Linked DNA regions of Caenorhabditis elegans. The protein of the gene in region 1 interacts with the protein of each later gene in a biochemical or structural test. Each region holds a gene or a part of one and is shown in the gene's direction. Other genes may lie near its edges.

Evidence for each region.
Region 2: the proteins of stam-1 (region 1) and ubq-1 form a complex in vitro, tested with the Caenorhabditis elegans proteins (one study listed by BioGRID).

The regions. Positions count from the first base shown.
Region 1 is NC_003279.8:5,901,361-5,906,319, reverse strand, and holds stam-1 (Signal transducing adapter molecule 1), read left to right. Parts: upstream 1-1,624; 5' UTR 1,625-1,680; coding exon 1,681-1,686; intron 1,687-1,992; coding exon 1,993-2,100; intron 2,101-2,282; coding exon 2,283-2,474; intron 2,475-2,676; coding exon 2,677-2,874; intron 2,875-2,927; coding exon 2,928-3,178; intron 3,179-3,342; coding exon 3,343-3,775; coding exon of another isoform or gene 3,776-3,805; intron 3,806-3,872; coding exon 3,873-4,058; 3' UTR 4,059-4,215; downstream 4,216-4,959. Other genes in the region: tyr-4 (ShKT domain-containing protein), read right to left, coding at 4,286-4,710, 4,764-4,959.
Region 2 is NC_003281.10:5,939,029-5,944,635, forward strand, and holds ubq-1 (Ubiquitin-related), read left to right. Parts: upstream 1-1,957; 5' UTR 1,958-1,962; coding exon 1,963-2,329; intron 2,330-2,379; coding exon 2,380-2,835; intron 2,836-2,888; coding exon 2,889-3,572; intron 3,573-3,620; coding exon 3,621-4,304; intron 4,305-4,354; coding exon 4,355-4,680; 3' UTR 4,681-4,799; downstream 4,800-5,607. Other genes in the region: F25B5.5 (CDK5RAP1-like protein), read right to left, coding at 4,888-5,058, 5,108-5,257, 5,301-5,431, 5,477-5,607. UniProt on the Caenorhabditis elegans protein: Ubiquitin exists either covalently attached to another protein, or free (unanchored).

The DNA.
Region 1 (4,959 bases):
AGATTCAAACATGCGACAGTGATTTAGATTTTTCAAATTTGACTCGAAATAAAAAATTCCAAAATTTTTTGAAAATCTTTATAACGAGATTCGGTAATTTCAACAGCATATGAATAGTTTTTAATAATTTCCCCATTAGTCGTAGTCCACTTTTAACTTTAATTAATAATTAAAACCATTAAGGTTTAAAACCGAATTTCAAAAAAAAATTTCGATATAGAAGACTAAGAATAAAATATAACTTTAAAGAAAGAAGTTATGAAAGTTTTTGTGAGTAAAATGAGTACCAATGTGTATTTTGGGAGGCACGGGGTTGGTGATGAACATTATGTGTTGTATTACGCATGCCATAGACCAGTTTTGCGCGGATTGCATGATCAAGTCGATTGACTTTTCGTCTTTTTCGATTAAATTGATAACCGATCCAGAATAATACTTATATAATTTCATTGAATTACAAAATTCAAATGAGTTAGTAAAAAACTAGAACATTCAGTAAAATTTCAAAGCTATTTGCAAACCACAAACTTGAAATTTGAAAAAAATCAAACATGGAAACTCTAGACAGTGTACACAGGACAAATTACACTGATTAATCTATATCAACTCGCCAAGTTTACAAAATTTCGTCGAAAAACTGATAAGCACATGCAAAAATTCGTGTGAATTGGCTCTAGATAGAAAAATATGAATTGGCTCTAGATAGAAAAAATAACTAAATCGATAATGTTTCGTGTCGTTTTCGATGTATTTTTATGGCTCGCTATCGGCAGCAGCTACCGCTTGTGGCTGTTGTTGGGCCCCTTTTTGACGAATTAGGTGAAGAGAATCGAACGGAAATGAAAATTTATATGAACACAGAGTGGAAGAGTGGTGAGAGAGAGAGAAAAGAACGAAAAGCAGGTGGAATCAACAATGAAAGTGCAAACAATTGTGCTTATAAACAATTTGGATTTGGATTTTTTTTCAACAATTTTTAAAAATTCTATTACGATGAGAAGTAAGAAATATGAATGGAATAAATAGAAGTCTGAACAAATTTTTTTGAAAACGAAAAATTGAACATTTTGTTACGAAGCGTTTTCAGGTTCTAAAGTATTATTTTTTAGGAAAAAACATTAAAAACGTCCCAGTAATCTACTTTTAATAATTTTGAACTAATTATTGAGTAACATTTAGTTTTAAAAGTTTAGAAAAAGCATGGACACTGAAAATTAAAAAAAAACATGTTTAAACAGAGAAAAAAATTTGAAAGATTAAAGGAGCGCGCGATTTGTAGCATGAGGGTCTGCCACGAATTCTACAGTTGTTCAGATCATTTTTTTTGAATTATTCCACAATCTTTCTTCTCTTTGGAATTTAATTTTTCTCGAAAGTTATTTAATTTTTCTATAAAAATGTGCATTGCAGTTTTAAAATGTTTTTTTTTTCAATTAAACGCATGAATGTGATTGGTACACGCGTGAGACGCAAGTTCTCGAAAATCTGCGATTGCGAAAGGCAAAAGTATTCATTTTTTCGAAAAAATAAACAAATTGCTCAAACTAAATTGAATATCGATCGTCTTTGCCCTCAATATTTTAAATATCACGCTTTTGAAAATTATTTCGAAATAAATATTCAGTTTCAGTGAGACTCATTCAATTGAACCTGATCACGTGCTGAAAGTCTGCTGTAACAATGAAGGTTTGTTCGTTTTCCTATCTCTACTTTAATTAAAAATAGTGTTAAGAGTAATTGTTCATTCAAATAGATTTTTTTTCATTCAGTAAAAAATGATTAAGTTTTCGGAAAGGAAGAAAACAAAACAAAAACATAGAAAAAAGTGTGCACGAACGAACACACAAAGCATATGCGTCAGTGTCTTAACCCGTCTAATGTCTCTTCATCCCCCTACACTCTCTCTTTCAGTTCACCCGACTAACACATTCAACAAGCAAACCCGTTATTGATTCAATTTTCTTTCGTAATATTCCTTTTTTATATTTTCAGAAACAAAAGTCATTTCCAATGTCTGCTTATGAGGATTTGCTCGGAAAAATCACTGCTCCAACTATCACTGTTGAGAATTGGGAGGGAATTCTCGCATTTTGTGATATGGTTCGTTCAATTTGTTTTAAAAAATGTATAAACCTTTTCACTGATTTATAGATAGAATTCTTTGTCGTTTGATAAAAAATCATATTTTAAAATTAAAATTTCCTCCTTAAATTTGCTAGCTGATTTTCACCGAAAATCATTGATTTTGGACTAAACTTAATGTTTTAGTTTAAAATTTTCAGATTAATAACGACTTCGAGGGATCGAAAACAGGAATCAAATCACTTCGTAAACGTCTCAACAATCGTGATCCTCATGTTGTCCTTCTAGCGATTTCTGTACTTGATTCGTGTTGGGCAAACTGTGAAGAAAGATTCAGAAAGGAAGTATCGTCTGCACAATTTATCAATGAACTCAAAGCTCTTTGTACATCGGTGAGTTTTTGTTTAAATCTGAAATTGTTAAACAAAATATCAAAATTTCTTTCATGAAGTTTTGTATTTCTTTAATAGATATAGTATACGCAGAAAAGAGATAAAAAAGAGAAATAGAGTTAGAAAAATAAGTATAATACGAAAATACGATACATTTCACCGCGTTTACAAAAAAAAATACAAAAATTTACAATTATTATAGAGTCAACGCCAAGTTGCTGAAAAAATGCGATTAACTGTTCAAAAATGGGTGGATACAGAATGCAAAACTGAACAATCACTGTCACTTATCGTCACTCTTCACAAAAATCTTGTTGCTGATGGCTACTCATTTGTTGTGGATGATCCAAAAAGTAAAACGAAAGCGATTGATGCAAAGTTTGCAAATGATCCGAATTATGTGAGTTGTGGAAGTTCGCGGCAATAAATATCAAAAATTAATAATTATTATAGGTTGGATCTGCTCAGGAAGAAGAAGCAATCGCAAAAGCCATTGCTGCTTCATTGGCGGATGCAGAGAAACAGGAAAAAGCAAAAAAATCAACATCCACAATGTATCCATCAGCAAAAGCAAGTAGTCCAGCAGTTCAGACTAATTCGAATATTCCGGAAAAGAATGTTCGAGCGTTATACGATTTTGAGGCTGCTGAAAGCAATGAATTATCTTTTGTTGCTGGAGATATTATTACAATTACTGATGAAAGGTAAGCAACAAAAATGTGTTCTAGTTTAAATTGAAAGCAATCGCTTAAAAATCAAATCAGGAAGTTCTTCAGTTTTTTTTTTTGTAATTTAAAATTAATCATACCGAACCTTTTCGTTACTGACTGCTTCTATCAATTATCAAAAAAAAAACAATTTTTTGCAGCAATCCCCACTGGTGGACTGGTCGTATTGGTACCCAACAGGGACTTTTCCCATCCAGCTTCGTTACTAATCAACTCGATGATCTAAAATCAAAAGAGACGGATTCATCACAGAAAGCCCCAGAAGTTGTAGCCTCAATTAATGAAGCAATCCTTGTTCGTTGTCTTCAAGTACTCCATGAATGTGATCCTACCGGTGAACGACAGGATCCAGAGGATTTGGCCCAACTAGAAGCCGCCTCGTATGCTCAAGGAAATCTCATTGATGCACATTTGGCTAGTATTGATCGACAGAGCAACTCTCTAGCACAAATCGATGTGGCTATTCGTGATGTGCTCGCACTTTATGATGATGCGATTCAGAAGGGAGGATTTCAGCATCAAAGTCAAGGAATGTACCAACAACCAATGCAACAGTACAACTATCAGCAACCAGTCAGTTTTTATTCAGAAAAAAATATTTAGAAAACTGAAATTTTTCATTCTAAGCTTCACGGTAATGCCTATCAATTCAAAAAATCGTATTTTTCAGCCAAACCGAGCATATTACCCACCTACCGGTCCTGTCCAACAACAGCAGCCACAACAATATCCTCCACAACACTATCCGGCTCCTGGAGCACAACCACAGTACGCATGCCCACCGAATTCTGTTCCCCAACCTCAACAACAGCAACAACAATGGCCTGCTCCGTCTTCACAGCCTCAACAATATTAACTTTTTGATTTGTTGTGAATATCACCTTTTCCTCCTTGAATCTGTAACTAGTTCCATTGATATTGTGATCACTTCTAACTTATTTTTCTCGATTCGCCACCCGTTTCTGTATAGTCTTTTGCTTCCTCGAGTTCTCGATAAGATAAAAATGAATTCTTTATTGAGTTTGAGGCAAATATTTATTATACACGAAAATAATCGGATAAATTGAGAAAAGGTAACAAAAATTACAAGAGGTCCGGATCAAAAGATGGCATTGAAATTGATGCATTGGCTGCTCGAATGGATCGTTTACCCCATCCACCGCCTCCCCATCCACCTCCACCCCATCCACCTCTTCCACCACCCCATCTTGATCCTCCCCATGGATCATTGTTTCCCCATCCACCACCTCCATTTCCACCCCATCCTCCATTATCTCCGAAATCGTCACGTCCCCAACCTCCACGTGGTGGTTGACGAGATGGATTAGTCTGACGAACTTGTGCAACTGGAGCAACTGATCCAGCTGTAGTTCCACACATTCTACGAAGCTCTGATTGAGTATAGCAACTGTTACAGCTTGATCTACAATTCTCAGCCATCCATGGATTTTTCTGACATTCACCGACACGAGCCCATCCGGCACATGATCTATGGTAGTCGACGCATGCTGAAATATATATTTTTTAATTATAAAAATATTTTTTTAAAAATAAAGCTTACATCCATAATTGTAATCTTCAGGATAGCAATGTCCACATGAAACTCGACAATTACATGCCATATATCTTGTATTTTTTCGGCATTCTCCCATTAATCCCCATACAGCACAGCAAACATTCTCATTGAAACAACCATCAGAATTATCACACTGTTGAGCTGGAGCAGGTGTCGTCGTGGTTACTGTAGTACCACCTCC
Region 2 (5,607 bases), on another chromosome or scaffold:
AACATGACACATAATAAATCAGAAACTCGAAAAACGTATTTAAATATAGATTTTGTCGGGAAGTTTAATGTGCAACTGTCTCGATATCTTTCTTTGAAAACATTTAATTTTTATTATATTTTCCAAACTGGATTCGAGAATTCTCGTATTCTTAAACAAATTTACAATGAAAATATAAATAATTAATTTAAAGGAACATGTTCTGCAATCCTCCCTGGGTCCCGCCACGAAACCGCCACGCACTACCATGAAAGGCGCGTTCGCATTCGTTCTGCCGCTCGTTTCTGTTTTCCAGATCTTTCCATCATTTTCTTCATTCATTCGCGCTCTCTCATTATCTTGAGTTGCCGGCTATTTTCGCTGCTCTCTGCTTTTTCGTATCGCTTTTTCACTCTTTCCAGCATTCAGAAAATTGCATTATTTCGGTTTTCATTTAAAAAACTCATAGCAAAGTATTTTGTTATTGATTTCGCAATACTTTCGAAAAGTATCGGAAAATTTTAATGTTTAGTCTGTGCGTTCCTCATTCCCTGTTCTCGTTGTACTCTTAACTGATGTTTTTAAATTTAGTTTTCCGGGGCTCTCTTGAAAAGACCCAATAGTCGTATTGAACCTTCGCCTGATCGCCACTAGCTCATCTTTTAGTCTTATGACGGGCTCACATGATTCTCCCCAGTGTCCTCCCGTTTTCTCACTGCACTTGTTTTGTCGTTCGTTCATCAGTACAAAGTACAAGCACTTTCGCGTCTGTCTGAAAATTGGTTCGGGTGCCGTTAGGACATTATTCATACTTTCCTGCTAGTCGCAGATTATAAAAAAATGTCCTTGACCGTCTGCTCTTTCTTATGTTCTCCCTATATATGCGTCAAACGAACAACTGACCCTGTTCACTTTTCCTATTCTTCGTTTCATCATTTTCTGTAACAAAAATGGAAACAATACTTTACACAGACGTCACTATTATTCAGGCCTATGATTTCTCTATCGTTTAGTTAAAGATGAAAAGAAACTGGTCGACCCAGTTGCATGACGAGAAAAAAGAACACCCCGTTCGATTTTCGTTGTATTCCCTCTGCACACATTGTCCCCTTCTTCCTCATCATTTCTTTCCCTACACAGCACTCTAGAATGTTCTTCTTGTGCAGAAAGAGTGCCGTTTGAGTCAGCGACCCCCCCCCCCCCCCTCCTTTCTCTTGCTCTTCCTCACTGGTTCTCGTAATAGGCGACTTCTTGCTAACAGAAAGTGAGCATAGCAACATTTTTTACTTTGTGGCCTTCAATAATACGTGCGTCGTTTAATTAGAATGTTTGAGTAAAGTTCAACGTGTAGATTCAATATTCACGTTTTGGGCGCTCTTTAATTTATTACTGTCAAGAATCAGTTTACCAAACGGTGAGTTTCTTTTTTTTTGTCTAATTGTAAGATTTAGCGGGGTAAAACCAACAGAAATGTCATGCTTTTTTGAATAATCTCAATCAGTTGTTATATGAATTATTTTCCCATTTTAGCAATACTGCTTGGTAGTTATTTTCGGTCAGAGAAACGAGGACATCAGCTGAACATCTGCGTCTCTAACAACACTCGGGGAAGGCGGAGTCAGTGTGCGCGTGCGTTGGGGGTTTTATCGATCGTTGAGGCGGGCATACAGCAGTCATACACCCCATTCGACCAGAACGCTCCGCTCGCGTGCCACCTTGTCTCCATTCTCATTTCACTTGTCTCTACTCGGACATTACTCCTCATCGATTAGCTCTTTACTACCATTTTACTTTTATGCCTTTCTTTTTTCGTTTGACTTGCCTATGACGAGTGGGGATGAAGTTTGCTTTGTTAGTCTTACTAGTGTATCGATTTTTTGGGTAATATTTCGCAACTTTCTAGGACTTTCTTTCATAATCACCTCTTCTCTCGCCTCCTCATTCCAGTTTTATTCGCACTCATTTTCTATTTTTTCAGCAATCATGCAAATCTTCGTCAAAACGTTGACTGGAAAAACTATCACCCTGGAGGTGGAGGCTTCCGATACCATCGAAAATGTCAAAGCCAAGATCCAAGACAAGGAAGGAATTCCACCAGATCAGCAGCGTCTCATCTTCGCCGGAAAGCAGCTCGAGGACGGCCGCACCCTGTCTGACTACAACATCCAGAAGGAATCTACTCTTCACTTGGTTCTTCGTCTTAGAGGAGGAATGCAGATCTTTGTCAAGACTTTGACTGGAAAGACCATCACACTTGAAGTTGAAGCTTCCGACACGATCGAGAACGTCAAGGCCAAGATTCAAGACAAGGAGGGAATCCCACCAGATCAGCAGCGTCTTATCTTTGCTGGTATGTTACATATAACAAATTTTGTTCATGAGAGACTAATTTTTTTCCAGGAAAGCAATTGGAAGATGGACGCACACTCTCTGATTACAATATTCAGAAAGAGTCTACTCTCCACTTGGTGCTCCGCCTCAGAGGAGGTATGCAGATCTTCGTCAAGACATTGACTGGAAAGACCATCACACTTGAAGTCGAAGCTTCCGACACGATCGAAAATGTCAAGGCTAAGATTCAAGATAAAGAAGGAATCCCACCAGATCAGCAAAGACTTATCTTCGCCGGAAAGCAGCTCGAGGACGGCCGCACCCTTTCGGACTACAACATCCAGAAGGAATCAACTCTTCATTTGGTTCTCCGTTTGAGAGGAGGTATGCAGATCTTCGTCAAGACATTGACCGGAAAGACCATCACCCTCGAAGTCGAAGCCTCCGACACCATCGAAAATGTCAAGGCCAAGATCCAAGACAAGGAAGGAATTCCACCAGATCAGCAGAGACTTATTTTTGCTGGTACGTTGGCAAAATATCTAATATTTGACCTAAAATTTATTATATATTTTCAGGAAAGCAACTCGAGGATGGCCGTACCCTTTCGGACTACAATATCCAGAAGGAATCAACCCTCCATTTGGTGCTCCGCCTAAGAGGAGGAATGCAGATCTTCGTCAAGACTTTGACCGGAAAGACTATTACTCTTGAGGTTGAAGCTTCTGACACTATTGAGAACGTGAAGGCCAAGATCCAAGACAAGGAAGGTATCCCACCAGATCAACAGCGTTTGATCTTTGCCGGAAAGCAACTCGAGGATGGCCGTACTCTCTCCGATTACAACATCCAAAAGGAGTCTACTCTTCATTTGGTTCTCCGTCTCCGAGGAGGAATGCAAATCTTCGTCAAGACTCTTATCGGAAAGACCATCACCCTCGAAGTCGAAGCCTCCGATACCATCGAGAACGTGAAGGCCAAGATTCAGGACAAGGAAGGAATTCCTCCAGATCAGCAACGTCTCATCTTCGCTGGAAAGCAGCTCGAAGACGGCCGCACCCTTTCGGACTACAACATCCAGAAGGAATCAACTCTTCATTTGGTTCTCCGTTTGAGAGGAGGTATGCAAATCTTCGTGAAGACTTTGACTGGAAAGACTATCACCCTCGAAGTCGAAGCCTCTGATACCATCGAAAATGTGAAGGCCAAGATCCAAGACAAGGAAGGAATCCCACCAGATCAGCAGCGTCTTATCTTTGCCGGTACGTTATATAGATATACATAACTCAAATCAACTATTATTATTTCAGGAAAGCAATTGGAAGATGGGCGCACGCTCTCTGATTACAACATTCAGAAGGAATCTACTCTTCACTTGGTTCTCCGTCTCCGAGGAGGAATGCAGATCTTCGTCAAGACTCTTACAGGAAAGACCATCACGCTCGAGGTGGAAGCTTCTGACACTATTGAGAACGTGAAGGCCAAGATCCAAGACAAAGAAGGTATCCCACCAGATCAGCAACGCTTGATCTTCGCCGGAAAGCAACTCGAGGATGGCCGTACCCTTTCGGACTACAATATCCAGAAGGAATCAACCCTCCATTTGGTGCTCCGTCTCAGAGGAGGTATGCAGATCTTCGTCAAGACATTGACTGGAAAGACCATCACACTTGAAGTCGAAGCCTCTGATACCATCGAGAATGTGAAGGCCAAGATTCAAGACAAGGAAGGAATCCCACCAGATCAGCAGAGACTCATCTTCGCCGGAAAACAACTCGAAGACGGTCGTACCCTCTCCGACTACAACATCCAAAAGGAGTCTACTCTTCATTTGGTTCTCCGTCTGAGAGGAGGTATGCAGATCTTCGTCAAGACATTGACCGGAAAGACCATCACCCTCGAAGTCGAAGCCTCCGACACCATCGAAAATGTCAAGGCCAAGATCCAAGACAAGGAAGGAATTCCACCAGATCAGCAGAGACTTATTTTCGCTGGTGAGTTCATATTGTTTTTAGAATTAAAACTAATTTTTATTGTTTTTCAGGAAAGCAACTCGAGGATGGCCGTACCCTTTCGGACTACAATATCCAGAAGGAGTCTACTCTTCATTTGGTGCTCCGTCTCAGAGGAGGTATGCAGATCTTCGTCAAGACTTTGACTGGAAAAACCATCACTCTCGAGGTCGAAGCTTCGGACACCATTGAGAATGTCAAAGCCAAAATCCAGGATAAGGAGGGAATCCCACCAGATCAGCAACGTTTGATCTTTGCTGGAAAGCAGCTCGAGGATGGACGCACTCTATCCGATTACAACATCCAAAAGGAGTCGACACTTCATCTCGTTCTTCGTCTTCGCGGAGGAGACATTTAAATCGAACCCATCAATTCACTCGTTATTCCTCCTCGATCTCCGTTCAAGTAACAATTATTTATTCTTTATTCCTTCGGGAATTTCTGTATTTTAATGAACGAGCTCTGAATAAATTCATTTTCGTGTACTCAAACGATTTATCTTTAACAATAACAAACAACAAAGATAACTACTCTATGAAGTGTAAGGTTCAACTATATTTATAGATCAGATGCTGGATTGTCCTATGAGTTGCGCTTTCAATGTCTGCGAATTGGCGTCGGTGATCAGAATCTTTGCATATTGACCAGGTTCCAAACAGAGTTTCGAATTGTCGAACACTGCTTTCACACCACCATCGATCCTTCCATGTGAAAATGATGCATCCCTTTTTGACTTCTAAAAATATTATTTTAATTCATTTTATTGGTGTTTATAGATGACTCACTCCTTCCAACAAAACCGTCTGTTCCGACCCGATAAGCGCTTGGTTCAATTTCAATGCTTCTTCCCGAAATACAGTAGTCAAATCTAAATGTCTTCTTGCTTTTACATCTTCTGGAACATCGTCTGTTAACCGATGATGTGCTCGCGTTTTCTGAAAATAATCTGATAGGAACAATTTTCAGCAACTGACTCACTCCACGCATACTGTAGGGGAAAACGAAGCAGAATGAATAACGAACGGCTCGAATGAGGGAAAGTGTGTTCTGATGAGCTTGTTCAGTTTCTCCACAGAATCCGGCAATGAAGTCACTTGTCAGAGAGACGCCTGATAAAATAATTAAGTTTTGTTTGAAGAGTGATTCATACTCACTTGGTAAAACATGTCTAATATCATCAACTAATCTCAAATACAGATCTCTTGTGTATCCTCTTTCCATCCGTTCCAATGTCTCATCATCTCCACTTTGTGCTGGAAGATGAAGTTGTTTGCAGAGATTTGGA